2 linked regions of the Arabidopsis thaliana genome follow. The protein of the gene in region 2 interacts with the protein of the main gene of each other region in a biochemical or structural test. Each region holds a gene or a part of one and is shown on either strand. Other genes may lie near its edges. The genes, in order: SFC and DL1.

Region 1 (15,500 bases), about 13 Mb from region 2:
TAACACTTGGCTCTATATATAGCAAGAGAAACCCTAACTAATTAAATGGATTTGGCAGTTCGTGAGTCTGGGTCAATGTTTTAACTGTATAAAAAGTCTCGACCGAGTAACACAATTTGATAATGTTTTAGTTGATTATAGAATACTGACCTTAGCGTGTGAAGTGTGACACACAAATGCTTCATTTTGTTTGTATTCCAACAACTAGGAATAGATTAATATACGAGCGAAGTAATTAGCTGATTACATAGGAATATAGACATCTGATGATAAATAGTTTGTTTAACTAATATCCATGGAAAATGTTTTTCTTTTGTCGGCATATTCATGGAAAATGTAATTTCGTCGAAAATATGGTTTCGTGGAAAATGTTCTTTCGTAAATTTCCAAAGCAATGCTTAGTAAAAAACGTGTAGAGTCTGTGAGAACCTTTCATGATGTGAGACTTTGACATCGATCTAAGGCTTCATGGAAAATATTTATTAGCTAACTGTTTCATGGAAAATTAGTTTAACTAATTCAAAGAACATTATTTTTTTTGGTAAAATAACTCAAAGGACATTGGTAAGCTTAATATAATAAATAAGTATTATGTGTAATATGTAGAGGAATACAAGTAATACCAGCTTAGGTTTCAAATTTTGAAAGTTTAAATGCAATTATGCAGTATACTAGTACCATGCAAAATTGTGATAAAATTAAAATTTGCGTATGTAATCTAGTTTAAAATAACTTTTGACGATTTATTTGTTCCTTGGGTTTTAACTTGTGACGAATTGTTCAGCAAGTATCATCTTGTCGATTATTTAATAGTCAACATTATGCAACTATCAGTTTTTTTATTCTTCTTTTGGTGTCTGTTTCATGAATCATGAGAAGTCAGGAAAACGCAGAGAAATCCACAAGGAACTTCTGCAAAATTTGGTACTTCCGAAACAAGTTAAAACTTTCGCGCAAGAAAAATAAAACTCATACACAAAGACCAGACCACAACAAGACTCTACGCTGCGAGTCAAATATAAATATTAAGAAAATGATTAAAAATATAGTTAAATTCATAAACAACAAAGACCACAAAAGACTCTACAATGGGAGTCAACAAAAACTATTTATTTAGTTGAGTGAGTCGTGTGATGAAAGTGATGGAGACTAGAAATTACAAACGAAGTTTCAATATTAGAAAAGAACATGAAATTGAACGCAAGAGACTTTAGACTCACCTGCAACAGAGTCTCGTATCTTTTCTCCAGATTGGTACACTCAATTTAATTACAAAGGATTTGGAAATTTTTGAAATTGCATTAAACAAAAACAAAACCAAAAATAAAGATCAATAATACAACAGCAAAGACAATAGTACGATCCAATGGTATCACTGATATATTATATATGGTTCTCGCTTAAGCTCCAATCGTAGTCTAGTCTTATCCTGCCCAACGGTACTATATGTTTTTTTACTTCTACCAAACCAAACCAAACCAAACATTGTCATTCGTCTTCAATTGATACAAATGCCCTAAAAGGAAAAACCAAAACTATTTTCTTGTTAATCTCTTCCGTTCTTTATCTTCTTTCTCCATAAACTGTTAAATATTTAATTTTATGATAATCTTTCCAGCAACCCTACTACATATATTTTTTTTTTTTTATTTATTTATTTTGCAACAAAACAAATTCATCCATTGATTTTTTTTAAAAAAAATCGCCTAGAAAAACTAGTACAAACTAGAAAAAAATAATTCAAAGAAAAAAAAAAAATCAAATTTTTAAAAGTTTGAATTTTCTTACTTAAATACCAAAGGATGACCATTCATCTAGAACGCCAATTAGCTTAATTAAATCTTTACAATTATGTCTCAAAAATCACACTAGCTAAAGAGGACAAAATATGACATTTTATTGCCCAAAAGAGATATTCGAACTATGTGTGTAGGGTGACATTTATCTGTGGTAGCTCTTTAACCCGAGGAGGGCAATATTCTAGCGAGAAAGGACAAGCCATCCATCGCCTCTTAATGAATCTGATACGTCCCACGAGCTATCGATTTGACAGACAATATAGTATGAATCGTGTCGATTTAAGTAGCGTCCATGCAAGCCCGAGCAATTGCTACGCGGAACGCATCCGCTTCTCGGGCCGTATAAGACATTACATCTACTGAATAAATGGCTTTATAATATTTTCGAACATTTTCGCGTTTTGACTTTCTAAATAAACCATAAATCAAAGGGGATCTTATTATTTAATGTACTTATTTTTCTTTTGAAAATGATTTGTTTTGTAAACATCGATCTTTTATGTAAGATAATCATAAAATATTCATTTATAATTAGGTAATTATAATATTTTGGTTTAATTATAAAAGTACTTTATTTTTTTTTTGGGGGGTAAAAATCCTTTATTTGTAATGAAAGTTAATATTTGAAATATTTTTCACAAAAATATTTTGATTAATCCTCTTAAGCAAATTTTGTAATCGTAATAATATTTATGGATTGCTTCTAGTTGCCCTGAAATTTCTTAACGGATTAAAGACAACCAAAACGGTTTGGGTTTGACATAAAATTAAAAACTTATAATTTAATGGAGCTTATGAAGTGTGGGCCTGGAGGGATATTTGCCCAGAAATTCGCTGGAAAAAGAAAACGATGTTCCAGGTAAACCTTGAGAGTTAAAAGTCATTTCTTAATAAGCTACAACGTCAAACACGAGTTTTGATCAAATAAACTTCCAAGTAGTCTCCATCTTCTGACTTTGATATGCACACCAAGTGGGGTTTGGTGTCTTCGTCTACTAGTATTTTGGTGTGTCCTTCCAAAAACACACGTATCTACCATAAATGTCAAATTAGCGAAATGAAAAAACAACATTTTATAAATGCATCCGTACGCAGAAACAAGAGGCCATAGTTAAGAGAGCTATCCATGGAATGGATCTTTAAGCAAGTTACACAAAATGATGAATGTGGTATATGAGTTATGCACACATACAGTATTAAGGAAAAAAGACAGCTTGTCAAAGCCGTTTAAGGCTCAACAACAGCAGTATTGTGTCCGTCCCTCCCATTTTTTTTCTCTGTTTTCGTTCATACATACATATATGCATCTCATCTAAAACAAACCAGAAATTTTCACACCAGTCTTGTCTTCGGATTAGAACTTTCTCCTCCTGTCAGGAAAGACATGTGTAATGTTTAAAAAACACTGCAACAACGAGTGGTCTTTTGATGAAACCATAAGCTGAAAACCCGTAAAAACAGATTCACGAACTGAAGGAACAACCCTAAGCAATTGCTCAATTAACGACAGCTTTGCTTTAAGCAAAAATCTTTAACGCAAACAATTGGAATCCATGATTTGATTAATCTGCAGTCATACTAAACTTGATGAATTGAATCAAAAAGAAAATAAGAAGAGGTGTTTCCTTCTTTCTCAGATCAACAGACTTTCACCTGCTCATAATTATAAATTGCTTGCTCAAAACCATGTCTTTCTTTAACCCTGGAATCTTCCCAGAAACGATTCACTAGTGTTGAATCAAAACTTGTGGCAACATCACTGGAATCTATCAAGATAGCTTCCAGGAAGTTGAGGTAGCTTTAGATTCTCTTCTGCGTGTACTATCAACCAGTCTCAAAGGTAAACAGTTTCTTACTATGTTACCATACATTCGCTGTAATACAGTCTCTAAATTGGGTAAAAAAGAAGTCTAGGAATTAAAAATATCTTACATGTGCGGCTAAAAGATGCTACATGATTGTATCTCATGGACCCCAACTTCATCTCTGTGTAGCGTTTTCCAACCAAACTGGTATGTGAAAGATCAGACATCTGTTTCATCTAAACTAAGCTTGGCACGATATTGACGACCTTTGCTTTGGAAACTGGTGCAGCTCTCTGATTCTCGTATTTCAGTATCCCCATCTTCTGTTGCACTTGGTCTCTCTTCTTCTGCCAACTCTCCAGCTACGATAGGCTTCGTCTCATTACAGTTACTACTGTCTTCACTTACGTCCTTGGTCTTATTCTGCGGAATAAAGGAGACTTTTGGAAATGATTCTGACTCTGGATTTTTCAATCCTTCAACAGCATTGGGAGTGTCCATGTACTCTCCTGTTGGGGACTCCACATCCAATTCACAAGATGGATCAAAGCTGTAACGGGTGTAACTCGAAGGATTTAGCAAGTAATCCGGTACCCGAGCACCACTTTTTCCCTGATGAGATACGATTTTTGACGAGGCAGAAGCTGAACAAGTATCTTCAGGCTTCTTCAATGTTTCTTCAGGCACAGAATCAAACCTGACTCGCTTACTTGTCCTTGCTTCTGAATCTGAACTATTCTCCTTCCTTTTGAGTATAGGTTTTCGCGGCATAGCTTCGGATGATTCTTCTGCGTGTGGCTCTTTGCTTTCCGAAGGTTGACTTGCAGAAGTATTAAACTTGTTAGCCTCAATTTCATCTTCCTTCAGCCTAATTCTTGCAGCAACATAGTTAGCACGAGGATCCCGAATCCGCCCACAGCCTTCACCGTCATTCTCTTCCCCTAGTGCAACTTTATCATACTCATCTTCCTCTGCCTGTGTTAAGAAGCATAATTCATGGAAACAACACTCAGCATCAAAGAAAGTGACATCCTATTCATAATACGGTATGTGCTACATATAGTTATAGCAAGAAAAACTCAAATTCAAGAATCTTAAAGCTGGTTACATAGGTTGATGATTCACGTACAAAAACTCTATAAGTCACACAAACCAATATGATACTACATTAAAAATTCAATGCTCTTCTCATATGAATCTACCAAATCCAAGAGAAAAGACCAACACTGTTCCCTAATTTCAATTAGCTAAGCAATGAGAAACAATCGTTAAGAGACCAAAATTGATTTACCTCGTCATCGAGAGTGCGATCAAGGCCCATGGAGGCTCTGATACTCCACACACCATCAAAATCCTCGCCGCAATCAATATCTTTGAGATCATCCTCGGAAGGCTTCTGCTGTTTTAAGAGCTCGTCAAAGGATGAAGCACAAGGAATCTCGTCTCTATCGTACGAATCTCGCTTCCACTCCCGCTTCTCTACCTCTGTGTCGGAGAGAGTCCACACCGACCCCGATTGCTGCCGCGACGCCGGAGCAGAAGACGACGTGGAAAACTTGGAAGACGAAGGACGAGAGAAGGGTAGAGATCCGAAGATCTTCGCAACGCGAGACTGGAAATCTTCGTCGGCTGATCCAGACGATGCCATTGTGAAGCTATTAGAAATTGAAACACACACAAATCGATTGCTGTGAATAAACGAAGAACGAACAAAATAATAGACCGCCTTTCGTGTGATCCTATAACAAAACAAATTTTAAATGGGCATTTTATAATGGGCCTGGCTTAATGGAATTTCCTACTTCTTGGCCCAATATCGGCCTACTAGTCACTGTTACCTCTATACAGTTTTTAATTTTTTTTTGGTTGTGTGCTAAAGTGGATTTTAGTATCCGTAGGCCGTTTGAGGTCAATAAGGAAATGAAAGATGCGACAGTCTAAAAAGGAAAAGAGAGATCTAAGTTACATTAGATTGATAGCCATATGTCGGAAATCATTTGAGAGAGAAAACATACGATAAATGTTGTGAGAAAGATGAAAGAAAATTGATGTGAGAAAATCTGATTAGAAGACCATATTAAATGTTGGTTAATAGTAATACATAATGTTCATTATTATGTTTTTAATTGCAGATGTCTTAGTTTTACCAGTTGAACAAAGATCTTAACCTAGATTTAAGACGATTATCGTTATGATTAAACAATATTGAACTAGCTGGACAAGACTCAAGAGATCATACATTTCATTAAACAATAAGGATTTTGAAACCAAGAAAATGTATTTTAATAATCATATGCGACTGTAAAGTCTGCAAAAGAAAGTAAGATCATCGTGTCCATTTTTTCCAAATTTCTCCCACTTTTCTTTTTGCTTTAACAATTTTTTTCCAAAAGAAAGTAATCATAAGTGTTCAATTTTTTATATTTAAAGATATTTTCATATAAAATAAAATAAACATGTCTTAAAAGGAATCATTTATACCCCACTGGCCTCTCTGTCTCTCCGGAACAAAAGATAATGGAGAAGCAACCAGATAACGGGTCCCACTCTCCCCTCTCTATTAATACTCTCGAGAGAATCGCGTTTACTACACGCGCCTCCTAATTTCCAGCCTCTTTAATACTACACGGGCTTTAAAGGCGCGTGGATATAGTGGATTTTAGCCAGAGTCCTTGTTTTCTCAGATGACCACTGTTACAGAAAAAGCACAGTCAGTCCTCTCTTTAAAAAATTTACACTTGAAACGACGTCGTATCTTACCAACCTTCACGATCTCCGGCGGTAACTAAAACGGCATAGTTTCGCCGTCTTTTGTGGTTAAAATTTTCACAAAGACGGTGAAGTTTTTTTTCTTCCTTTCTTTGATTTGTCTGTCTCTTCTCTTCTCCCGAGACACTTCATCTAAAAAACACACCCCCACTGTTTTCTTGTTTTGTTCTCTCTCGATTTCGCGAGAAAAAAACACCAGCTCAAAATTACGCTTGGCTCGAGACTTTGAAGATCATCGGTTTCTGTTTCTGTTGGATATTTCGGGGAAGCTTTGGGAGGAGAGGATCTCACGTTTTTGTTCGTTTATGGCGTCTGTGTGAGACATAGTGGTGGTTCTAGCTTTTAGGTTTTTGGTGTGTGTGTTCGTGTTATGTTAATTGCTGTTTGTGTCGAAGAAGAGGAAGTAATAAATTAGCTCAAAATGCATTTCACTAAGCTTGATGACTCTCCCATGTTCCGCAAACAGGTTTGTTTCTACTACATATCTTTGGTTCCTGTCTATGTGTGCTTGTCTTGATGTGTCCAGTCTTTTAGTGTCGTAGGTTAAAATTGGGTCATATTAGGCGAGATTTGTTCTTCAAAAGTTGTCAACAGATACTAATTTTGGAGCCATTAGGATGTGTTGTGTCTGGAATTTTGAATGTCCACCGACATTTATATTCCAAAATGTGAGTGGAACTTCACTGGAAGGTTCGAATTAATGTGTCACTAAGAAATTGGTTTATCTGGACGGCCTATTCGCGCTTTAACTTGTTGCTCCATGAAATGTGAAATGACTTATGATCCAGTGCACTTGTTTGGGTCTCTGATTCGTGTGTTTAGGATACATTTGTGTCCACTTAGCTACTACTTTCATGCTCACTGGTTTAGTAGGACTTCTGCTATCTAACTCAACTTAAATGCTAAGGAAGTTCCTAGTGTAGCTCAAATTCTGTCCAACAACTGCTCTGTTTGCCTGAAGTTGATGATTCTTTTGCCCCTATATAGAGTGCCTGAATCACTCAATCTTTGGGGTTATCCATAGTTGCAGTTTCTTCCATAATTGGATTGTGTCTTTACTGTTTTCTTTGCGTTTATGTATTTTTCCTTCCGCAGCTGCGTTCTTACATTGATATCTTTTTCTTAAATAGTTACAAAGCATGGAGGAGAGCGCAGAAATATTGCGGGAAAGAAGTCTCAAGTTTTACAAAGGATGCCGGAAATACACGTATGCTAGTTCAAATTTTCACAGCTAATTAGGATTGTAGCTCTACATTTAGAGTTTTCTTCTGGCTGAAACATGTATCTTTTAACAGCGATAGATTATTCTTTCTTTTTACAGTGAAGGACTAGGCGAGGCATACGATGGGGACATTGCTTTCGCAAGTGCACTTGAAACATTTGGTGGAGGCCATAATGATCCAATAAGTGTGGCTTTTGGAGGTATGACCGATTATATGGAAACTCGCAGTAGCATATTGTCTGTTTATTCCCATAATCTTTGCAGTTTTCATCTGAGATTCTTTGGCACTTTCCATTTTAGAATTCATAATTTCGTTTTTAAGCACTAAATACTGATAGTGGCCTTAAATTATGAGGGAAGTTGTTGTTCCCGCTCTTTCTCTTCGCTTTCTCTTTGCTAGGGTTGTTAGATTCACTGGTTTTGGTGGAAATGTTAACAATTTGCTGTTAAAAGTGCTGACAAACTCTAACTTGCTGTGCCAGGACCGGTAATGACGAAATTTACAATTGCGTTGAGGGAAATTGGGACTTATAAGGAAGTTCTTCGGTCACAGGTATGCTAGTTTGCTATTTTGACACTCTCTGTTTCTCCCTATTCCCAGCCTTCTCTCTGATAACTCCTGTGGTATCAACGTAGGATAGCTTTGTTTTCCTTCAGCAAAAATGGCCTCTTTATAGTTTGCTTTACCTTAAGACATCATATAGATTTAGAGCAGATCAAGTCATTTCAATCCAGGTTTTGATTTTGATGAGTTCCATTGTCAGGTGGAACATATACTGAATGACAGATTACTTCAGTTTGCCAATATGGACTTGCATGAAGTTAAGGTACAAGCTGCTTCCTTTATTATTGGCTTGATATACATGTTTTGAGTTAACTTTGCATCATTGAGGTATTAGTATTGACTAGAATATCTATTAAACAATGGAGGACAAATATTCTGCATGTGTGAATAGAGAAAATATGAAGACCTGCCAAGAGGCATTTAATTTAATATGGACATTAGGTCTTGTTCTTCTGGTTTGACTTGCAGCACTAGAAATCTAAAAAAAAGAACTAATTATCACTCATGTGGTCAACCTTCCCCAAACAAAATATAATTGTGAATATTTTCTGAGGTCATTAATGTAGATAAGGTCTGATGATTGCGGAAAATATGGTTAAGTTTCTTGAGCCTGCCTTTACATTGTGGCTAGTCAGCTTGTCCAGATATATCTTTTTCCATTTTTATAGTAGGCTAGCATGACATGGTTATATTTGGATATGGAACCCTGAGAGATCATTTTTGCCACAGGAAGCTCGGAAGCGCTTTGACAAGGCTAGCCTTACCTACGATCAGGTATCCCTTTTGTCAAGGATTTTTGTTTTCCCCACTCCGCTGACTTGGTTTGCACTACAAAAGATATTTTGGAAAGATTAAAAGTTCTCATCCTGACTCTTTTCTTTACTAGATGTAAATCTGTATGAAAAGTTTCAACCAGACAAAATGGGTCGAGCTCAAATATTTTAGAATCATTCCTCGTTAATGGAGGAACGCTAGGGTTCCTCTTTTTCAAAGTTATGATATGTGTTGCAGTTTCCGTGCAGGCAGTGTATAAATTTGCAGAAACCTAGCTAGTTTTTTTGTTCATGCTACATTTGTAGCTTGGAAAATAACTGATAGAAATAGAGAGGCATATTGGGTCCACGGCTCCCACTTATCTGGACGATTAACTAATTAACTTCTTATTGTGCTTTAGGCCCGTGAGAAGTTTTTATCTTTGAGGAAAGGTACAAAAAGTGACGTTGCTGCTGCTTTAGAACAGGTATGGTGCATGATTTTAGTAAAGCTCGTTTCTGATTTTTGATAACCATGTATTTTTATTTCTATGTTGTAACTAACATATTTTGACACTGACAGGAACTTCATACTTCGAGGTCTATGTTTGAGCAAGCTCGGTTCAACCTTGTAATTTTCTATCGTTTGATCTTGAGTGTTCAAATCTACATACTTGCTGTCCATACGTAGTATTGTTGAAGTAATCATTTGGTTTCCCTAATTTATGCTCAGGTGACTGCTCTATCAAATGTTGAAGCTAAGAAAAGGTTTGAATTTTTGGAAGCAGTCAGTGGAACAATGGATGCACATCTTCGGTACTTCAAACAGGTAAGTTTGTTATGCTGCTTAGAATTATAAAATAGTCTGGAAAGGTTTGTGTCAAATCTAAACGTGGTTGCTTTCAGGGTTACGAATTACTGCATCAGATGGAACCATATATCAATCAGGTCGGTTTAATGTTATTTTCCTTTTCTTCAAGTGATAGATCCCTAAATATTTGGGGTTTATGTATAATTCTCTTCTACGACTATGTATGAATCTTCACATGTGTTGAAAACGCGGAGATAGTAGCATTTAGAAAACTACTTATACATCAACTCTTTTTTTGTAGGTCTTGACATATGCGCAACAATCCAGAGAAAGATCAAATTATGAACAAGCAGCACTTAATGAAAAGATGCAGGAGTACAAAAGACAGGTTGATCGAGAGAGCAGGTGGGGTTCAAATGGTTCTAATGGATCACCAAATGGAGATGGCATACAAGCAATCGGTAGAAGCTCTCACAAAATGATAGACGCCGTAATGCAATCTGCTGCAAGAGGAAAGGTTGATCAACGTCTTTAACATATGATTGATACATCTTCCAGAGAGTACTATTAACATTTCTTGGTGCTTTCAGGTGCAAACAATAAGGCAAGGTTATCTCTCTAAACGATCTTCAAACCTGAGAGGAGACTGGAAAAGAAGGTTTTTTGTTCTTGACAGCCGGGGAATGCTCTATTATTACCGAAAACAGTGTAGCAAACCATCTGTGAGTTTTGGTTTTATATTTATCTTTTATTTGAAAACAGCAGAATTATGCAAACGGTATGGTGTTCATAAAGTAAAAATCTATTTGACCCATTCTTTTCACACTCTGACTTAGATTATTTGATGTTTAGGGGTCTGGAAGCCAGCTTTCTGGACAGAGAAATAGCTCCGAGCTTGGGTCTGGACTGCTTAGTAGGTGGCTTTCTTCGAATAATCATGGACATGGTGGTGTCCATGATGAGAAGTCTGTAGCTCGTCATACAGTGAACTTACTCACCTCAACAATTAAAGTCGACGCTGATCAATCAGATCTGAGGTTTTGCTTTAGGATCATATCACCTACAAAAAACTACACGTTGCAGGTTTGATTCAGAGTGTTTGTTACTGCCTTAAAACTTTATTGTATACATGTTTGCCCAAGTTTAATAGTTTTCACTCAGTGTTTACTTATGTTTGTCAGTGCAGGCTGAGAGTGCACTCGATCAAATGGATTGGATAGAAAAGATCACTGGGGTTATTGCATCACTACTTAGTTCTCAGGTCCCTGAACAGGTAAGTATTATCATTATTCCTTTACCTGACCAGGCTCATATTAAATACCAATGCAACTTTGGTGATTGTCCATCGGCTACATTTCAGCGTCTTCCTGGTAGTCCCATGGGAAGTGGCCACCATCGATCTGCTAGTGAAAGTAGCTCATATGAAAGTTCTGAATATGATCATCCTACTACTGAAGAATTTGTATGTGAGAGGAGCTTTTTGGGGTACAATGAAAGGCCATCAAGAAGTTTTCAGCCGCAACGGTCCATTAGAAAGGGTGAGAAGCCCATTGATGCTCTTCGAAAGGTCTGTGGGAATGACAAATGTGCGGATTGTGGAGCTCCAGAACCAGACTGGGCTTCTTTAAATCTGGGGGTTCTTGTCTGTATCGAATGTTCTGGTGTTCACCGTAATCTTGGTGTGCATATATCTAAGGTAAAAAATCTCCAGAACTCTTAATTGCTTAGAAAATATATGTAGGCTCTATAACAACCAACTTATGGAAGGACGTAAAGAAGTCCATGAGAATTTTGAAGTGACACTAGGCTTATATTCAATAGCAATTCAGATTATAGAGCATGTGATAGAATTTGAACTTTGGATGGCTCGGCCTTCAATTTGACATAAGTTATACAGCAATCTGAAGTTGGCTGTTGCTACAGGTTAGGTCACTCACTCTCGACGTGAAAGTATGGGAGCCATCTGTTATAAGTTTGTTCCAAGCTCTTGGAAATACTTTCGCAAACACAGTTTGGGAGGAATTGCTTCATTCAAGGAGCGCCATCCATTTTGACCCCGGCTTAACAGTGTAAAACTCCATTTATGTTTGAAAGTGATGATAACTTTGATCACCTAGAAATCATAATGTTAAAATTACTCTGCCAAATATGTGCAGGTCTGATAAATCCAGGGTGATGGTCACTGGAAAACCCAGCTATGCTGATATGATATCTATCAAGGAGAAGTATATACAAGCTAAGGTTTTTAAGCTTCTACCCTTTATTTGATTCCTTATGTTGGAGATAAATGAAGCTATTTTTCTTCTCGAGGGCGTGCTTATTTCTTCCCAGTATGTTGTTCCTTCAAATATTCATTGAGCATGTAGAAAATATTTACTTTCGAGGCATTCTCTCGTTGCTCGGTCATAGGCAATGTTCAGGAAAGCTCATTCAAACTTTTTTTTTTTTTGTCATTCCACAGTATGCGGAGAAGTTATTTGTTCGGAGATCAAGAGACAGCGATTTCCCACAATCAGCTGCACAACAAATGTGGGACGCAGTGAGTGGCAATGATAAAAAAGCTGTTTACCGGCTCATTGTCAATGGTGATGCGGATGTGAATTATGTGTATGACCAAACTTCCAGTTCTTCGTTAACACTTTCCAGAGTAATATTAGTACCAGAAAGGCCAAAGCGTGAGGATGTTCTACTCAGATTAAGAAATGAGTTACTTGATAGAACAGGTAGTTCTTCAAATATATCTCCTGAGGGAAGCGGAGGTTCCTCTCTGCTTCACTGTGCTTGTGAGAAGGCAGACCTTGGGATGGTAGAGCTTTTGCTGCAGTATGGTGCAAATGTAAACGCCTCAGATTCAAGTGGTCAAACGCCGCTGCACTGTTGTCTTCTCAGAGGAAAAGTGACAATAGCAAGATTGCTTCTCACTAGGTGAGTTGGTCTTCTTAGATCCGCTTATCCAAAATGTCCCTAACATTTTCTCTGGCTAAATCCTTTGGAAATGTTAAAAGTTTTCACACAAGTTGTGTGTATGTTGCAGGGGAGCAGACCCGGAAGCTATGAACAGAGAAGGCAAAACCGCTCTTGATATTGCTGCAGAGTCAAATTTTACTGATCCAGAAGTTCTTGCTCTCCTTTCAGACACAAATGGATACAATCACAGACAGTGCTGATAAAGATGCATAGGCTTGCGGACATAAAAATTCCGGAGCTATGTTTCATCGTTGCTTTCACGGTCTGAAGAGCCAATCAACACTAAAGAAGGACCTCTAATGGTCTCTAGCAAGTTTAGCCCCCAATTAAGTATTGTATTGATGTTTTTGTGATGGATGGATATAGGCTGCATATTGGGAAATTATAGTGTATTGTATTGTGTCGTGTTGTGTGTATGTGGGACTATAGCATCCTGAGTTTGTCATGTCCAGACGTTGTAACTTGTAAGCAATTACTTATGGTTTTGTTCACTTCGTATTAACGTATTTAATTTGTGGCTCGATTTTGGTTTTGAATCTGTGTCAAAACTAAGATAATTTACGTGTTAAACCAGGCCCAAGTTTGAAAGTTAATTGTCAATTTTCAGACCAGAGTACATATTGGTCCACTTATTCCCATTACATTCATAGTTTTGAGTCTTTTGATAATAGTGTTACCATTTCAATTAGGCTAATCTTTTTTCAACCCAAGATATTTTTATAAAAAGGAATGTGGTTCAAATCGGAAAACAAGACCTAACTTTGAATAAAAGCACTACAGCATAAAGCTTTTACCTTTAACAAAAAAAATATAATAATTTTTTACAAGGAAAAAGAAGAGAAAGCAATTATTCTCAGACAAACAAAGGAACCACTTTTGTAGGTGTAGTAGTAATCTCACACGCTAAGACAAAAGTGCACAAATTCTCGAGACTCTCTTCTATCCAACGGTCCATATCTCACTAACCGCATCTAAATAACGGACAAGATCTTCTTTTGGCTTCAGCTCTCTTTAGTCTTTACCTTCCCTCAAGCTCGGTACTCGATGTCTTGCTTTCGGCCACTCATGAAAGCAACGAGAGCTTCCCCTTTCATCCGCCTACGTGGCTATGGGACCCAGTCTAACCACGACCACCTGACATCGTGGGCCCCACTGTAAGGCGGGAACCCCATTTTTTTTTGGCTGTAAGTAACGGATTCTCGGTCATGCTTTTTTGTGAGGATAGAGAGAGAGACTGAGAGAGAGAGAGAGTGTGTCACGGTCTCGCAGATACTGTGTATTGAAAAGAGAGTTCTAGAGAGAGAGTGTGTTATGTGTGTGTGTGTGTGTGTGTGTGTGTGTGTGTGTGTTTGGTTACTGGGATTAATTGAGCTGAAACAGTTTGGATAGTTTTGTTTGTTCTGTTTCATCTTTCAACCACAGATATAGTAATATTGTGAAAACCCCTCATTGAAGTTTGTTCTCTGCTCTCTCTTTTTGGGTTTAGCACTGAGTTTTGGGGTTTATTTCGAGACATACCCATACAAAGTTTGATACTTTTGTGTCCCCCCTTATCAAGAAAATTGTGGGGTTTTTTTTTTTTTTTAATAAGCTTCCTTTAAATTTTCAATTTTTATTTTGGAGGAAAAGAGTGAGAATTTCAGATAAGAATCTATGAGCCAATGATATTCTAATTCATCTTCTTCGTGAAGATTTTGAGTTGAATTCCATTTTCCTTTTTGTCTTGGTGGTTTCTCATTGGTTTTCTCGAGAATATTTGTGGTTTTGGGAGAAGAGGCTTCACTGTAGCATTGAAAAAGTCTTAAACTTTTCTGTGTCTTTTTATGTAAGCTTTGAACAGCTTCACCTTTCTGGGTTTTCTCAGATTGTGTCTAATCTTGAAAAACCTTTTATTCGTAGAAGCAGCAATGAAGCAAAGAAGAAGAAGAAATGGATGTAGTAGTAGCAACACTATCTCTCTACTCTTATTATTCTTCTTAGTCTTCTTTTCAAGAACAAGCACAAGTACAAGTTGTCGTAGAAGAACTGTTAAACACTTATCCACAACTTCAACATCATCTACACCACTTGAATCAAGAATCACTTCCAAGGTTATTGTGATTAGTATCGTCTCAGGGATTTTAACAGGGTTGGTTTCAGCTTTGGTGTTAGCTTTCTTGGTTCGTAGCATTGTCAAATTCATGAAACAGACGCCAATTCTCAAAGGTCCAGTGGTGTTTTCTCCTAAGATTACTCCTAAATCTCTCCACGCAGCTCTCAGTAATGGTATTCAGTTGCTTGGCTCTGACCTTAATGGTAAATACTATAAGATGGTTCTTGATAATGGTCTAGTGGTTGCAGTCAAGAGACTAGGCTCACTTGAAGGAGTTGGTTCACCAGAAAGTAGTAGTAGCAAGTCGGTTAAGAGAAGGTTGCAGAAGGAACTTGAGCTTCTTGCTGGGTTAAGGCATAGGAACCTTATGAGTTTACGAGCTTATGTTCGCGAATCTGATGAGTTCTCTCTGGTCTATGATTACATGCCTAATGGTAGCCTTGAGGATGTGATGAATAAAGTTAGAACGAAAGAGGTAGAGCTTGGATGGGAGATTAGGCTTAGAGTTGCAGTTGGAATTGTGAAAGGGCTTCAGTATCTTCATTTCAGTTGTGAGACCCAGATTCTTCATTATAACCTGAAACCTACAAATGTGATGTTGGATTCTGAGTTTGAGCCTCGGCTTGCTGATTGTGGATTGGCCAAGATCATGCCTAGTTCACACACAGCGGTATCTTGCTACTCTGCCCCTGAGTCCTCTCAAAGTAACAGGTGCTTC
Region 2 (14,837 bases):
CAAAAGTCTGCCACGTCATAATTGCAATTGTTCCGCGTCTCTGCTGCTACATGCTCATTCACTCGCAAATCGCAATTTTCTTCTTAACCAAATTTTTATACAAAAAAAAAAGCTCAGACAGAAGTACTAAATGGTAAATTTGACATAATTAATTGGTGTGTAATTTTATAAATACAGAAGTACTTGTGTCTTGTATTTATTAGTATTCCTTATTTAATAAATTACTTTTCACTTAATCATCCAACTTTGTCAGATTCACACGCAACCTTGAAAAAATAAAATAGAATGGTATTGTGACTTTCGTGGAAATTTCTACTTAGATGACACAGTTGCTCCAATTAAAAGCTTACAACTTTTTCTTCATCTTTCTTTATATTTCTCACCCATTTTTCACCAATTTCTCTCCACTTAAAACCAACCCCAATTCTCACCAAAAATCGCAAAAAAGATTTCAACTTTCGATAAACCCAGATCGAAAAATCAGATTTTTCCAGATCAATCAGAGAGTTAGAGATGGAGTATAATAACAACAATCAGCAATCTTTTTGGCAGTTCAGCGACCAGCTGAGAGTTCAGACACCGAATCTAGCGAATCTGTCTCTCAACGACTCGATCTGGAGCACAAACTCTGTCTTCAAAGAGCGTCGAAACTTAGACATAGCCGCCACCACCGACAAGAACAACAACCAGATCGACTATTATCAGAAGAAGACAACTTCCGACAACATCAATTCCAACTGGAACTGGAAGTCTTCTGGTTCAAACAACGACATGGGTTTAGGATTCGGACCTGTGGGTTCAAAATCCACCGTCGATTTAAACCCAATCGACAAATTCAACTCACCGTTCAACGACACGTGGAAATTCAACTCAGTCAACGTTAACGTTAACGGTTACTCACCGTCAAGCGCCGTTAACGGAGATTTCAACAAAGGGGTTTACACGTCGATGAAGAAGTATGGGTACAACGTCAATCTAAAGAACAACAACAAGAACAAAGGAATCGATGAAGATCATCAGATTCAGAAAGGTGGGAAGAAGAACAGAAAGAATCAGCAGAACAATAATAACCAGAGGAACGAAGACGACAAGAACAATGGTTTGGACAAGAGGTTTAAGACTCTTCCTCCAGCAGAAGCTTTGCCAAGAAACGAAACCATTGGTGGTTACATCTTTGTCTGCAACAACGATACCATGGAAGAGAATCTCAAACGCCAGCTTTTCGGTATTCATCACCACATCTTTCTTCTTACTGTTTCGATTGTTTCTTCTTGGTTTTGATTTGTGGGGATGGAAATTGTTTAGGATTGCCACCAAGATACAGGGACTCGGTTAGAGCGATAACTCCAGGACTTCCTCTGTTTCTTTACAACTACTCCACTCACCAACTTCATGGAATCTACGAGGCAGCTAGCTTCGGAGGAACAAACATTGAGTTGAATGCTTTTGAAGACAAGAAATGTCCTGGCGAATCTCGTTTCCCTGCTCAGGTACTACTATGTACTTACTTTCTTGCGTTTCTTTGAGCTCTTGCTTTTGTCTAAATGCTAACAAATTTTTTGGGGTAATAAAAATAAAGGTGAGGGCCATAACGAGGAAAGTATGTTTGCCACTGGAAGAAGATTCTTTCCGACCCATTTTGCACCACTACGACGGTCCTAAGTTCCGACTCGAACTCAGTGTCCCTGAGGTACGTTTTTTTCATCTTCTTTAGTTCACAACCACTTTTTTTTCTTACATTCAAAGTCTAACGCTTTGGTTGTGTTTTTGGCAGGTGCTTTCTCTATTGGACATTTTTGCTGACCAAAACCCTTGAATTGGGTAATACCAATGAAGAACACAAAACAGTGGTTTGTTACTTCAAATCCAGAAAGAGAGAGATACCCCATTATACATATATGATTATAAGGAGGAGTATTAATAATAATTGTCTGAAGAAATGGTATTTTACTAGTTTATACAGTTTCTTTCTTAAGTATATTCCCAGGAGATATGGGATAAATAGAAGATGTGCTATTTTTGTGTGGGTGGATGAAGAATAGATCTCATCTCCGCGCTTTTTTCTTTTTGTAAATTATATAAAATAACATATGTACAACCCCAAAAATAGGGAGAAATGAGATGATGAACTCTTATCAATTTGTGTTTGATATTTTTATTATTGCTCCTATTCACTTCTTGCCCAATTCTATCTTGAATTTCATTTATACTAGTCGGAATAAACCGGCCACTTCATGAAAGATTTGTTGTAACAAACAACAAACTTCTCCAACAAGTAATTAAAATGAATCCAGAACAGAAGGCAATGGTTTGGGGGAAAAAAAATGTGGGAAAGATTAGTTGAAGCAGCAAAAGTGATTAGAGAAAAGCACGTTAAGAAAAAGTGTACAATAAAAGTGTTAACATCAAAACATCAAAATATTTAATTTTTGTTCGTCGGCATTAGTTTTGTTATAAACCATAGGAGAAAATGTCAGAAATAGATCCACAACTTAAAAGAAAATCTCACGACGTGGCGTAGGTAAATGGAGACTGGAGATATTAATGTGGGGGAGATGAAGAAGACTTTGAATTGGTCTTTGTTTTGAAATATGCGTTCACGCTTAGTGGAAACAAACACATGGACTCGTCTCGACGCTAATTACGCGGACCAGATTGTGCCACGCTTTAACGGTGCACGTTGGCTTTGTATTCGATGGGCTGAAACTTTTGCTGACTTTGTGTTTGGACCAATCAGCCACTTGTTCACCAATTAAGATTAACCTTCTTTTTTTTTTATATAGATTATCGGCATTTATGTATATTTTATACGAACTGGTAATAATAGTGCATAACAATTGCAACAAAACTACAAGCTTTTGGAACCCTGAAAGGGTTGCTGATTCATGGAACTAGAAGTGTATTCTAAGGTTGAGACTTGAGAGTGTTGGCTGAGAAATTTATCAGGTGTAACATTGGTAGCTTTTGGTTTGATAACTGGACCGCCTTTGGTCCACTCATCAAATTTATTGGTAACGACGGGACAAGAAGCTTGATAGTTGCCGTTAATGCTACCATTCCTGATGTGTGCAAACCTGATGGTTGGAATCTTGCTAACCCACGGTCTGATCAGTATAAAACACAGTCAACAATCCATTGGAAAGCGAATTACAAGCTCTAATCTATTATTTGCAATATTCAGCTGCTGGAGCAAAGGCTATCGAAAGGTGTGTTTCCAAGGTAATAACAGACAAGTATCTCTTTTCCTGAACAAAAAATAGTGCCATCAACTTCAGAATCTGTAACTGAATTCGACACATTAGGACTTGGCAAGCCAAGTTTGAAGAGGTGTCCTGCAAATTTTCTTGCAAGAGCTCAAATTCCTCAGACACATTGTCTTATTGCTTAGACACATGTTTCATATCGGACAAAAACATTAGCTTCCATGAACCAGAAACACTATTAAAAAAACAAACAGAGACAATCTTTGAGGAAATTACATTAAAACTATCCAATTTTGGATCGACATACTTTTAGATTAATAATATCTAAATACTCGTCGACTCTATTCTCTTGGGAAGCATCGCAAGTTTATTGCCGATCAACTTTACTGCTTCTTCGAGGAAATTTTCAACTTCTTCTTTCACGATTACCTTGTAAGGATCTTGAGACAGATCAAGATCCAATTTAAGTGAAGCTTCTTCTCGCGCCTTAATCTCTGTTATCTTGTACAAGTTCGAACTTTCCAAGATCTTCTTCACCGTCTTCTTTATTTTCCTCCGCAGATCCTTGTCGATCTCTACTTCTTCTCTCGCTACTTCCTCCATTGATGATGTCTCGCCGACAGAGAGAAACCAAAGGGTTTTTGTTTTGTTTTTTCTTACGAGTGATAAAACCTTCTTTAGGGTTTCTTAACTATTGAGCCGTAAAATTATAAATGGGCCGATAATATGTTTAGGCCCAATCATCATTACACATTTCCAAAAAAAGTTCTTCTTGGACTTGAAAAACTGGGCTATATATCACTTGTTTGAACTTTTGCTAGAACTTGTTGGCTTTGTCTGGCTGCAAAACAAACAAAGAGAGAAGAACATGATCATCATTACTCTGCAAGGTTCTCAAACCCATTTTGACATTCTTGTACATGCCAAAAGACGGTTTTTGTTGCGGTCCAATTTGTTTCATTGTTGATTGTAAGTGTATATAAATAATACTAGGCATTAACATACCGTAGTAGTGAATCACTGGTGTCTACAGAAGTGGAGGATTTAGAGTCACCACGACCAAATGCAACCTCGTCCATGCTCTGCCCTATGCGGCGGTATCTACCTCCGGCCTCAACAAACGCGGGACAAGGCCTGTAAGCCTTAATTGGCCACCAACCGAAACCGGGGACAGTTGCAATGCCACCTTGAATCCGTCCGTCACCATTACACCCACTCTCTTTCTCTTCTTTCCCACACGCTCTGCAACCACTGTTTCATTCCTCATGTTATGATCTATTGACTATAGAGAGATGGATCCATCACAATTCACAAATGACAATATAACCAATCGCTCAAGCCAACATGAGACCACAAAGAAATTTATGAGGTTAGTTATTGTAGAGAATCATTTTAAGAGATTCACTAGTGTAACAAAATTGAAGATTCATATAACACTAACAAGTTAACAGCAGAAAAGAGTCTCTATGATTTCATCATTTACGCAATCCCTAATCTATCACTAACTCTAAAATCCTTAATGTCAACGAAATTGGATTAGCTGAGAAAGGTTTAAGCTTTCCAATGGAATCGATGAAGAGAAGCAAAAGGGTACCTGAAAGTGAGGTCGTTGTCGTCGTCATTATCAGTTTCTACGACGGAAGACGGCGAAGAAGAAAGAGAGAGTAGTGGATGAGGATGATGCTTTGATGATTTGTTGAGAAAGAAACTGCTTGAGCTTGGCCATGGCCTTGATTTGTGACTACCATTGTTGAAGATGAAACATCGAGGCAGAGATATTGATGAAATGGAATTCGCCATTTTTCTTTCCTCTGTGAGCTAAGAGAAGAGAGTGTGAGAAGATAATGGCCACAAATTCAGAAACGCAAAACAAAATAAAAAAGAGTACATTACAAATTTTTATTTTAAACTATTAGAATTTTTTTCTTATTGGTAATCATATTTAAATATTATACTCTTTTTTTGGGTAGAATGTTTAATATTATACTATTGTTACAGAAAAATTATCATATGCGAAAAATACATTTTATAGTAATTAAATAAAGGGAATAGAGAAAATCTAATCTATGTGGATGTTATAAAAGATACGTAACATATCGGGTGATGGACAAAAAACATTAGAGGCAGGACAAACAATGTGGATGTTATAAAACGATACGTAACATATCGGGTGATGGACAAAAAACATAGAGGTAGGACAAACAATGTGGATGTTATATAAAACGATACTGCATGGTATCGGGAAGATCATCTTATACAAATTACAGACCCTAAATCTCTGCTCCGAGTCTGAGCCACACCGACCAGAACCGAGCAAAACAGTGGACATGACATGCCGGTATCACTTGGACCAAGCAACAGCATCGATCTCGGATTGGGCTGCTCGATACAATTCTAGCCGCTTTGAGATGGCACTGCGTCTCTCCATGATTGCTGGATCTTCGTTCAATAGCGACGAGAGCCTCTTCATCTGTTGGATATCACCATATTAGTTGACTCAGTGTTTACCCGAATGACACTTCTTTAGGTTAAGAAAAAAGGCAGAGAGCACTTACATCCATGGTACCGAGCTCCGCAAAGAAATGGTCGAGGAGACTGCGCTTCGCTTCTCGGACTTGGCAGTATACGATGGACTTGGGGATTGAATTCCGCAGGCCAGCACAGACCATGTTCACGTAAGACAAAACATTGGATCCTGTTGCCAAATGTCTAAAATTTGTGAGATATACGGTACCAGATAATTATTTATTTATATGGGTTAACCTTACCGATTCGTCTGAGATAGGAATCGTTGTAGCGGTCGAAAATGGAGTGTGTGGGGTTACCACCCTTCTCAACATCCTGGGGAAGTTTCCTGAAGAAATCAACAGTGAGGTAACTGCACTCCATGTCAACCAGCTGCAGTGTTGCTTTCTTACTTCCTTCCCGCATTTTATCCAGCGACTCTATCGCCGCATTTGTCACCTCCACTCTCAGAGCTGGGTATTGTTTTAGTTCCTGCACATGTTCAAACCGTCTATAACATTGTACAAAAGTACTAGTTGTTGGAGATATATATATATATATATATATTACTAAAAGAAAAAAGAACGTACCACAGTTTCATTCACAGACTTGTGAACCAGATCCTTTAAGATAGCATGAACCTAATATTTAACCATAGAAAAAAAAAAAAACGGAGAGAGAAGCTTATTGTTTTGTGTTAGGTTTTTGATACATCTTTTTAGAGATGAAAGTAAAGAGTTCATACGGTGTCAACAGATGCTTCAGCAGGGCCTCTGATGGAGACAATAGAAGACTCAATGAGACGACGGTAACCTTGCTCAGGAGCAATCAAGTGAGGCTGGTAACCATCAGCCTCAGTGACCAGCTTCCGGATGTTGTCCATCGCTAGCTGCTTGTCAAATTGGAGTCTCTTCAGAGCCGCAGGAAGCTGGTTATCAAACACGTTGTACACTTTTTCACCACCAGCACGCCTGTGTAATCAACCATAGTCTTAAATTACAATTTTCCTTTTGTAGTTTCAGAAGGTCAAGAGTAGAAATATCAACTCAGACGCTATAACAACTCATGGTGTAATCTTAAACATTTGAAGTAAAAAGAGTCAAAACGTACACTCCATCAAGATGCTCTTTGAATATTTGATCAAAAAGCCGACATATCTCCATTATTGAGTACAACTTCCCCTGCATCAGAACATTAAGTAAATCTTGATAGCGCAATTCAATCAAAAATAAAAGAATACACAATTTACCCCTGCATCAGCTGCAATAGGCTTTCCAAGGCGACTTAGTTCAGTTTCCAGCTCTAATACTGTTTTGTTAATAAGTGACTGAATGCCAGGAATTCTCGACTTGATCACACGTTCTAGATGCTGCGCAACAAATAAAATTGTTGCAATTAGGCTCTGTCCTGATGGTTTTATACAGAGAAACGTGCTAAGCATTGCCATAACTTCGTAGTTTCTTAGTATTTTCTGTCGGCTGCTAAGAAAATTAGCAGCAATCGTGAAAACACTGGCCCTGAAACTCTTATTTACCACTCCTAACAAATTTCACAACGCCAACTTACTTATTATAAAGAACCTGGTGAAGAAAACTACCCCTAGCCTCGTGAAAGCACGTACCTTGGAGAGCATCTTTGCCAAATGCTCGGAACCCATTTTATTAGCAAGGTGCCTATACTCAGTAGTATTGGAAAAGTACTCCCTCTCTCTTTTCCGAGCCGCAATCATGTCGACATTCTTGTTAATATCTGCTTGGGAACGGTTGACGACACCAACCCACGGATATTTAAGTTTAAAAGATCTCCCTTCCAGAATCTGAGCAAAAAATATCATTTGGTAAGTAGCGGTGCACGCAATAAACATTAATGAGGGAACATAAGTATTATGATGTTACTACACAAATTAGCATTTTATAGCTCCAACATCATATCATAGACTAATTACAACACATTTTATTCACAGTAATTCGAAATTCTAGTACAGATGTTCTATAAACTGGGAATTCAACTTACTTCCACTGCATCCGTCCCCTTGTCCATAAGATCAATCTTTGTCAAGACACCAAATGTTCTGTCCCCTGTGAAGATCACCAAGATTATAAGAGACATAGGATGACAGAATAATGTGTTGGGTCTCTTAGGTGGAAAAATGAATTGTTTGTAAAATGCTCACCCGATGGATCAACCTCACGGGAAATTTTAATTGCATCTGAGGTAGCAAGATCTTGGTTTGCAGGTGAGATTGCCAAAATGATGCAGTTGGGCTATAAGGAAATTTAATTAAATAAAAAAAAAAACAGAATAGTGTCAACTCATTTGGCGCTACGAAAACATAACAAATATAGGGAGAATACTTATATATTACCGAATCTAATTTAAACTGGCGATAGCTATCTATAAAACATTAAAGGGTCTGGGAGTAAGCATTTTCATTTACCTTTTCAATGTAGGACCGAACCATGTTTTCAATGTCCTTCACTATACTATCAGATTGTCCATCTGCATCAACCAAAAGAAATTTGTCGTGTCATGCCAAATTATGTATGGTAGAGAATAAAGTCTATTGCCTCATGCTTCATCGCTAGAAAAAATAGACCAAAACTTCTTGCTCTACTGTAACTTACCAACAGCAACTTTTGTAAGCCCTGGAAGATCTATCAGTGTCAAGTTGACAACTGCACACATAGTAAAGAGGATAAAAAATTAGAGAATGAACAAAAAGCACATACAACTGGAAAGAGATTTTGGGTTGTCCTTACCATTGGGAGAGTATATGCTAAGGTGAATGGGAACACTAGAAATAGCCTTGCTGCGTCCAGTCTCTCTGTCAGTCTCATCTTGAATCTCCTTCCTCACAGCAGCTATAGAGGTGATTAAATTAATCAAATATCAATGGAATACAGGAGAAGGTGAAACTTGAACTGCAAATTGAGATAGCCGAAACCCACCAAAATCAGTAAACTTTTTCCTCGGGAGGTGAAGAAACTCTGCATACTCCCGGGTTCCATCATCGATCTTTTGCAACTGTAAGACAAGGGGCCTTCGAGTAACAATGCCTACAAATAGTTACCGCAAATGCATATTGTCATTACTCAAGGAAATAAGCAATTTCATAATTAAAACTAAGTAAGAAGTGTTAACACTGTATTTACCAGATCCACGGGGTAAAAAGTCCTTTCCCACGATGCTCTCCAGGACTGAAGACTTCCCTGAGCTCTGTCAACACAATAAGGATACAACATAAACTTAATGCCACATAGAATTATCAAAGTACAGAAACCCCTCTCCACAACAATCGTAGCTTAAATTAAATGGTTCAAGACCAACTAGTGAAAAAATATCCAAGTCAAAGCCAAGTCAACATTCCTCAATACCAATTGCTTGCAAAGCTAGTTCATAGTAGAAGCTATTAAACTATAATTCCTCACGATCCGGATGTTGATAAGCAAAAACAACGAAGTTTAGGGCAAATTTATCCGAATACCTCAGCTCAATATCAATTCCGAATCGCAAAAAAAACGAACGAATCGTGAGATAGATCGTCAAGCATATAATGGAAGGGGAAGGAGATCGAGATGCAAACCTGACCACCAACGACGGCGATCGCAGGCAAGGAATCCCAAAGAGTAGGTAAAGCGCTGGAGTCTCCATGGTCTCCTAAAGCCGTGCAAGCTCTCTGTATCTTGTTAACCAGAGAGATCAGATTTTCCATCGTCCTCTACTCCTCGTTTCCCCAATATCAAATGAGAAGCCCAAAATACAGTAGCTGCTACAACAGATCGGCGAGATCTGATACCTCCGCCGGTAAAATTTATTGCGGAAGGAGTAGATCTGCGATGCGACGGTGAGCTATGGAACCAGAGAAATAGAGATAGAGAGAGATGAGTTTTTGAATTTGAGTCGATGAAGAATTTTTGCTTGCTAGTGTTGGGAAAAAGTAAAGGGGAAGAAAGCGGTTTATATAAAAGCCAATACAGGGTCTTTTCTTTTCCAAAGAAAATTTGAAACGGCATGGTGTTTATTTCGAGAATTCAAAGACGACGAGGAGTTGACCAAAAACAAAATAAAAACGACGAGGTGTGTCGTATATATTCAACCAATCCCTTAATATTCCACATCTCTCTAACCAGGTAAAGTAATGATAATACTATTGCATGCATGACCAACCATATAAATAAATATAACAAGGTCGATTTTCTTGTAAAAGAATGTAACGAGTTAAAATTCGAATAAAAAAACTATCACTTATTAGTAGAGTAAAGTGATTTCATGTGGACCACGAACATCCTCATTACGATTGCAGTTCAAACGGTCCATAGATTGAGGATTCAAAAAAAAGATAAGAGACGTTAAGGATTATGATTGTTTATTCAAAAGGATGACACTAAACAACAAAATAACTGTAGTTTTGAAAATTTGAATGTATAAAATAAAGATCTTTTCTAGAACAAACCCACTAAATCTGACTAGTAATGTCACATCGATTTTAGATAGCGTTTGCATTTTGGCAAATACTATGTTTGGTTGGTGAGATCCAAACGCTTTTTAGAAATGTATAAAACATAGCACTAACACATTTTTAAACCTTATGTATTGTTTACGCAAATACACGTTATTTATTTTCCAGCTAAGTGGTGAAAAAATAAACCGGTTCACATTTTTTTTTTTAAATGTTACTAATGTTGTGTTTGTCTACACAATTTTTTTAAAAAATGTTACTAATGTTGTTTGAGACAAACACAACGTGTAACTTTGTATCCTACATACTCTTGTATCAATTGTTAGATTTTATGATGTTCATACGTTAACAAATATGTATCATGTGACCAACTTCTATCCCTCAAATTAGAATTTTGAAGTTAGTGAAAACGTGATGTAAAATAGGTTTAACATATGCTTTATGGGAATATGTTGAGACTAATATGAAATACAAATGAGGTTGGAGTGAGACATGCTATGTAATATATTTAGGTATGTAGACTGTATGTCTCCGTAGCAGCTGCATGAATTTAGCTTCCAAAAGCACATATACTTGCACGGGTCACACGGTTTATTTGCAGTGTAACTTTTTCGAATTGCGATTCTTGAACAAAATCTCTAAGAGTACTCTTCTACTACTTTCTGATGTTTTTCGTCATATGTGAGTGGAAGATGTTGGTTTAGTGTCGGGTTGTGTAGAGAGGACAAGAGTTAGACCATAGACACTCAAACAGTCAAACCAATCTATTATAAATAGATAATATCTCTCCGGTTTAGTATTTAAGCTTTCTTTGTATACCATTTATGTTTAATGAAGGTTTCGCGCTTGTTGATACAATCTGAACGAGATCTAAAGAAACCGTAAAAACATTTAGAAATAATACATCTCCAAAAAAAAGTCATTCGGAAAAACATTTTATGATTTAAATTGATGGATAATTTGTTCTCAACTTATACATCCAATTTCCGACCAATTCAAAACGAAATTCATCAATACTTTAATTTCTTCCTTTTTTTTTTTTTTTTTTTTTTGTCAACCGATATAAATTTGAACTCAAAAGATCCAATCCCGAGAGATATTGTTTACATACGTGACATGATGCGGTACGGTACGAATCTTTCGTGCCAACTTATCCGCTTTTACATTTGCACTACGAGAAATTAAAGATAAAGAGAAATTTATGAATTCTTCCCTATCACTCTACAACTCCTTCAAATACACTGGAAACGCCGGCCATTCGGTTGGAATCGGTGAATTGGTGAAATTTTTGTTTCTAGAAATCAACTAATCCGTCAAAGATGGTTTATTCCCTTAATGATGAAGGAAAATGGGTTCTCTTGTTGCTAATAAAATAATGGTATTTATTTTGTTTCTTAGAAAGAAAAAAAAGACTAATTTAATTTGGTTGGTCACACACAACCGTTTTCATCGGAAGAAGAACAAGTTGGATTGATTTTGCTTTGGATCTCACATCTGAGATCAGATTAATCTCTCTGTGAAGTCGAAGAACGAAACCCTAGTTCCCATGGATCTCTCTTCACGCTTCTCATCGATCCTTATCCTTCTCTTGATCTCCATCTCCATAGCTTCGGCTGAGATTCGTAAATCAGAGATCCGATCCGATGATCGTCCAATCATCCCTTTAGACGAATTCGGTTTCACTCACAGCGGTCGTCTTGAGCTTGACGCTTCCAAGATCTGGCTTTCCAACAGCAATCCCGATCTCGATCTCTCCAAAGTGGGCTTCTTTCTCTGCACTAGAGACGCTTGGGTTCATGTGATCCAACAGCTTGAAGAAGAAGAGATCACGTGCGCTCTACAATCAGATCTCGTTAAGCATGTGTTCACCTTCAACAATCTCAAGGGAGGAGATAAGAGCAGATTCTCCACCGTATTCACCGAGAACGATGCGGATCAGTACTCTCTCGTCTTCGCTAATTGTCTCCAACAGGTCAAAATCAGTATGGATGTTAGATCCGCTATGTATAACCTTGAAGGTAAAAAGGGAGGTCGTGATTATCTCTCTGCTGGAAGAACTGTTCTTCCTAAGGTCTATTTCTTATTCTCTGTTATCTATTTCTCTCTCGCCGCCACGTGGATCTACGTTCTCTATAAGAAACGTCTCACTGTTTTCGCAATCCATTTCTTCATGTTGGGAGTTGTTGTCTTGAAAGCTTTGAACCTTCTTTGTGAGGCTGAGGATAAGTCGTACATTAAGAAAACTGGAACTGCTCATGGTTGGGATGTCTTGTTCTACATTTTCAATTTCCTTAAGGGTATCACTCTTTTCACTTTGATCGTCTTGATCGGCACCGGTTGGTCTTTCTTGAAGCCCTACTTGCAGGACAAGGAAAAGAAGGTCTTGATGATTGTCATTCCTCTCCAGGTTGTCGCTAACTTTGCTCAGGTGGTTATCGATGAGACTGGACCGTATGGCCAAGATTGGGTCACGTGGAAACAGATCTTTTTGCTTGTTGATGTCGTCTGTTGCTGTGCTGTTCTGTTTCCCATTGTCTGGTCCATCAAAAACTTGCGTGAGGCGGCTAAGACTGACGGGAAGGCTGCTGTGAACCTCGTTAAGTTAACTCTGTTTAGGCAGTACTACATTGTGGTTATCTGCTACATCTACTTCACTCGTGTTGTTGTGTATGCACTGGAGACCATTACCTCTTACAAGTATATGTGGACTAGTGTTGTTGCCAGCGAGTTAGCCACACTTGCCTTCTATCTGTTTACTGGCTACAAGTTCAGGCCAGAGGTGCATAACCCGTACTTTGTTGTTGACGATGAGGAAGAAGAGGCTGCTGCTGAGGCTCTGAAGCTTGAAGACGAGTTTGAATTGTAAGTCATCACTGGAATAATCGTGTCACGTGTGAGTCAGTAAAAAGAAACATACTTTGTTTGACAGGATGATTGAGAGTAAACCGGATCATCAGCTGCCTGCTAAACCGCCTTCTCTTCTTTGGTTTTTTCCTCTTGTTATCTTTATTAGAATGCAATACCTGTTTTGTTTTTACTTGAATTGTTAGGATACTTATATAGACTCTATGAATGTCTTGTCCCCCAATGCATAGTATGTGTATTACTGGTAACATAAAACGCTTGGTGCTGCTCGTTATACTTAATCTGAGTCTCTGCTTTTCATTTGATAGACAAAATGGCTGATTAGAAAAGTTGCTTAAGGAAGCAAACTTTGTTCACTACTATTTGCCTTGTTGGATCTGTATTTATATCTTTGTCTGAAGTGACAGACGAAAGAATTGGTATAGTGTGTGGAGGTGGAAGAGATTAACATTGAATGTTTGGTGGACCATAGAGATTGATTGGTCACATAAATACAAAAAGTTTGGCGGAAATTAGGTGTACGAATGCGGAGGTGATTTATTGAAGGGAATACATATTTTGGACCTTGAAAAACCGGATCTGTACCGGTTTGGGAAGGAAGGGTTACCGTCCAGTGTATCGGATTGCTTCTTCAGAATCCGGTGCCGTCGATGTGCTTGTTGGGGGGACTAGCTTTCTGGGAGTCTTGTGGTGGGTTGGTGCGCCGGTGGGGTTGATTCGAGGACGAAAACCGGTCTCTTTCGTCGGAGTTTCTCGAGCATCGGTTGCGGCCTCGAAACTGTAGGGCTTGAGCCCGCCGGATCTAATGCTCCGGTCTCTCTGCTAGCTTCCATCAACAAGCGGCGATCTTCCTTCTTTGCCGACATGTTTTCCGATTTGCTAATTTTGTAACTGGATTTGATGTTGTTTTTGTTGCGGCCCAAGCCCATTTGGGATGAGGATTAATAATATTTAAAAAAAAAAAAAAAAAAAATTAGCACTTGTTGCTTGTGCCAAGATTCTGTCTGCCACTACTCTGGCCTCAAATGTCTTCAAGTTATACAATTATCGAAAATCATCATCTTCTTTAGAAAAATCTAATCAACTAAGATTCATTATTTAAATAATCTATGCTTAAACAAGAAAAAGGAGAATGGAAAAGGAAAAAAAAAAAGAGTTGGAGAGGAGGTCGGCACAACAAAGATGGTATGTCTCCTAAATCATCCTCCGACCAAAACACCAACACAAAACTAATTAAATTAAATTTGGGGGCTATATCACGTCATCAACCGAGTAAAAGTACAAAGCCGACGAGATCTAGTGGAGAAGCTTTTACAACCGAAGCTTGATGATGCAAAGCAAGAAGAAGAACAACACACACTCAACGAATCTGCCTTTTCCCTGCAAAAACGTCAACAAGCATTGCCTATGTCACACTCCTTTAATTCGTTTATTCAAGAGGTCAACAAGTCAAAAAGTGAGGCACTCTAAATCAATTATATTTTCAGACAAAAGTAACAAAACAAGAGTCATCTCCACGTGATAACCAATCCAAAACACATTGTCACAGTTTTTCGAGTTTATAATAAAGATTCCAACTTTTTAACCAAAAGTCACTAACTTTACCACAATGTTAATCCTTCCTTATTCGAGCTTTGTGATTTTTTTTTCTTTTACCACTAAATTTATTGTTTAAATGAAACAAAACAGATAAATAGAGTGACAAAATATGTCTAAATATGCAACTTAACAGTAACGACCTTCTAGTCCTAAATGTCTACGAAAATTGTCAAAGTAAAACAACAAATGAAGTGTAAAGTCGAAAA

What was found.
Region 1: the proteins of DL1 (region 2) and SFC form a complex in vitro, tested with the Arabidopsis thaliana proteins (one study listed by BioGRID).

The regions. Positions count from the first base shown.
Region 1 is NC_003076.8:4,253,313-4,268,812, reverse strand, and holds SFC (ARF GTPase-activating protein), read left to right. Parts: upstream 1-6,244; 5' UTR 6,245-6,794; coding exon 6,795-6,839; intron 6,840-7,503; coding exon 7,504-7,580; intron 7,581-7,694; coding exon 7,695-7,795; intron 7,796-8,077; coding exon 8,078-8,148; intron 8,149-8,359; coding exon 8,360-8,422; intron 8,423-8,889; coding exon 8,890-8,934; intron 8,935-9,334; coding exon 9,335-9,400; intron 9,401-9,495; coding exon 9,496-9,543; intron 9,544-9,645; coding exon 9,646-9,741; intron 9,742-9,818; coding exon 9,819-9,860; intron 9,861-10,024; coding exon 10,025-10,240; intron 10,241-10,313; coding exon 10,314-10,445; intron 10,446-10,575; coding exon 10,576-10,806; intron 10,807-10,909; coding exon 10,910-10,996; intron 10,997-11,083; coding exon 11,084-11,419; intron 11,420-11,646; coding exon 11,647-11,792; intron 11,793-11,879; coding exon 11,880-11,964; intron 11,965-12,184; coding exon 12,185-12,648; intron 12,649-12,757; coding exon 12,758-12,890; 3' UTR 12,891-13,266; and 1 more. Other genes in the region: PBS3 (Auxin-responsive GH3 family protein), read right to left, coding at 151-185; AT5G13310 (uncharacterized protein), read right to left, coding at 3,824-4,579, 4,896-5,252; AT5G13295 (uncharacterized protein), read right to left, coding at 14,492-14,561, 14,577-14,860; CRN (Protein kinase superfamily protein), read left to right, coding at 14,598-15,493. UniProt on the Arabidopsis thaliana protein: GTPase-activating protein (GAP) for ADP ribosylation factor (ARF). Involved in the spatial control of provascular differentiation. Required for the formation of the normal pattern of continuous secondary veins.
Region 2 is NC_003076.8:16,815,117-16,829,953, forward strand, and holds DL1 (dynamin-like protein), read right to left. Parts: upstream 9,901-14,837; 5' UTR 9,421-9,900; coding exon 9,292-9,420; intron 8,925-9,291; coding exon 8,861-8,924; intron 8,765-8,860; coding exon 8,657-8,764; intron 8,570-8,656; coding exon 8,468-8,569; intron 8,384-8,467; coding exon 8,333-8,383; intron 8,208-8,332; coding exon 8,146-8,207; intron 7,973-8,145; coding exon 7,882-7,972; intron 7,787-7,881; coding exon 7,722-7,786; intron 7,525-7,721; coding exon 7,330-7,524; intron 7,078-7,329; coding exon 6,958-7,077; intron 6,890-6,957; coding exon 6,819-6,889; intron 6,680-6,818; coding exon 6,454-6,679; coding exon of another isoform or gene 6,448-6,453; exon of another isoform or gene 6,350-6,447; coding exon 6,299-6,349; intron 6,201-6,298; coding exon 5,972-6,200; intron 5,899-5,971; coding exon 5,759-5,898; intron 5,674-5,758; coding exon 5,545-5,673; 3' UTR 5,168-5,544; downstream 1-5,167. Other genes in the region: AT5G42050 (DCD (Development and Cell Death) domain protein), read left to right, coding at 514-1,225, 1,306-1,490, 1,580-1,690, 1,775-1,816; AT5G42053 (uncharacterized protein), read left to right, coding at 2,592-2,756; AT5G42060 (DEK, chromatin associated protein), read right to left, coding at 3,528-3,806; AT5G42070 (uncharacterized protein), read right to left, coding at 4,002-4,044, 4,209-4,454, 4,798-5,003; AT5G42090 (Lung seven transmembrane receptor family protein), read left to right, coding at 11,714-13,033; BG_PPAP (beta-1,3-glucanase), read right to left, coding at 14,344-14,412. UniProt on the Arabidopsis thaliana protein: Microtubule-associated force-producing protein that is targeted to at the leading edges of the forming cell plate during cytokinesis.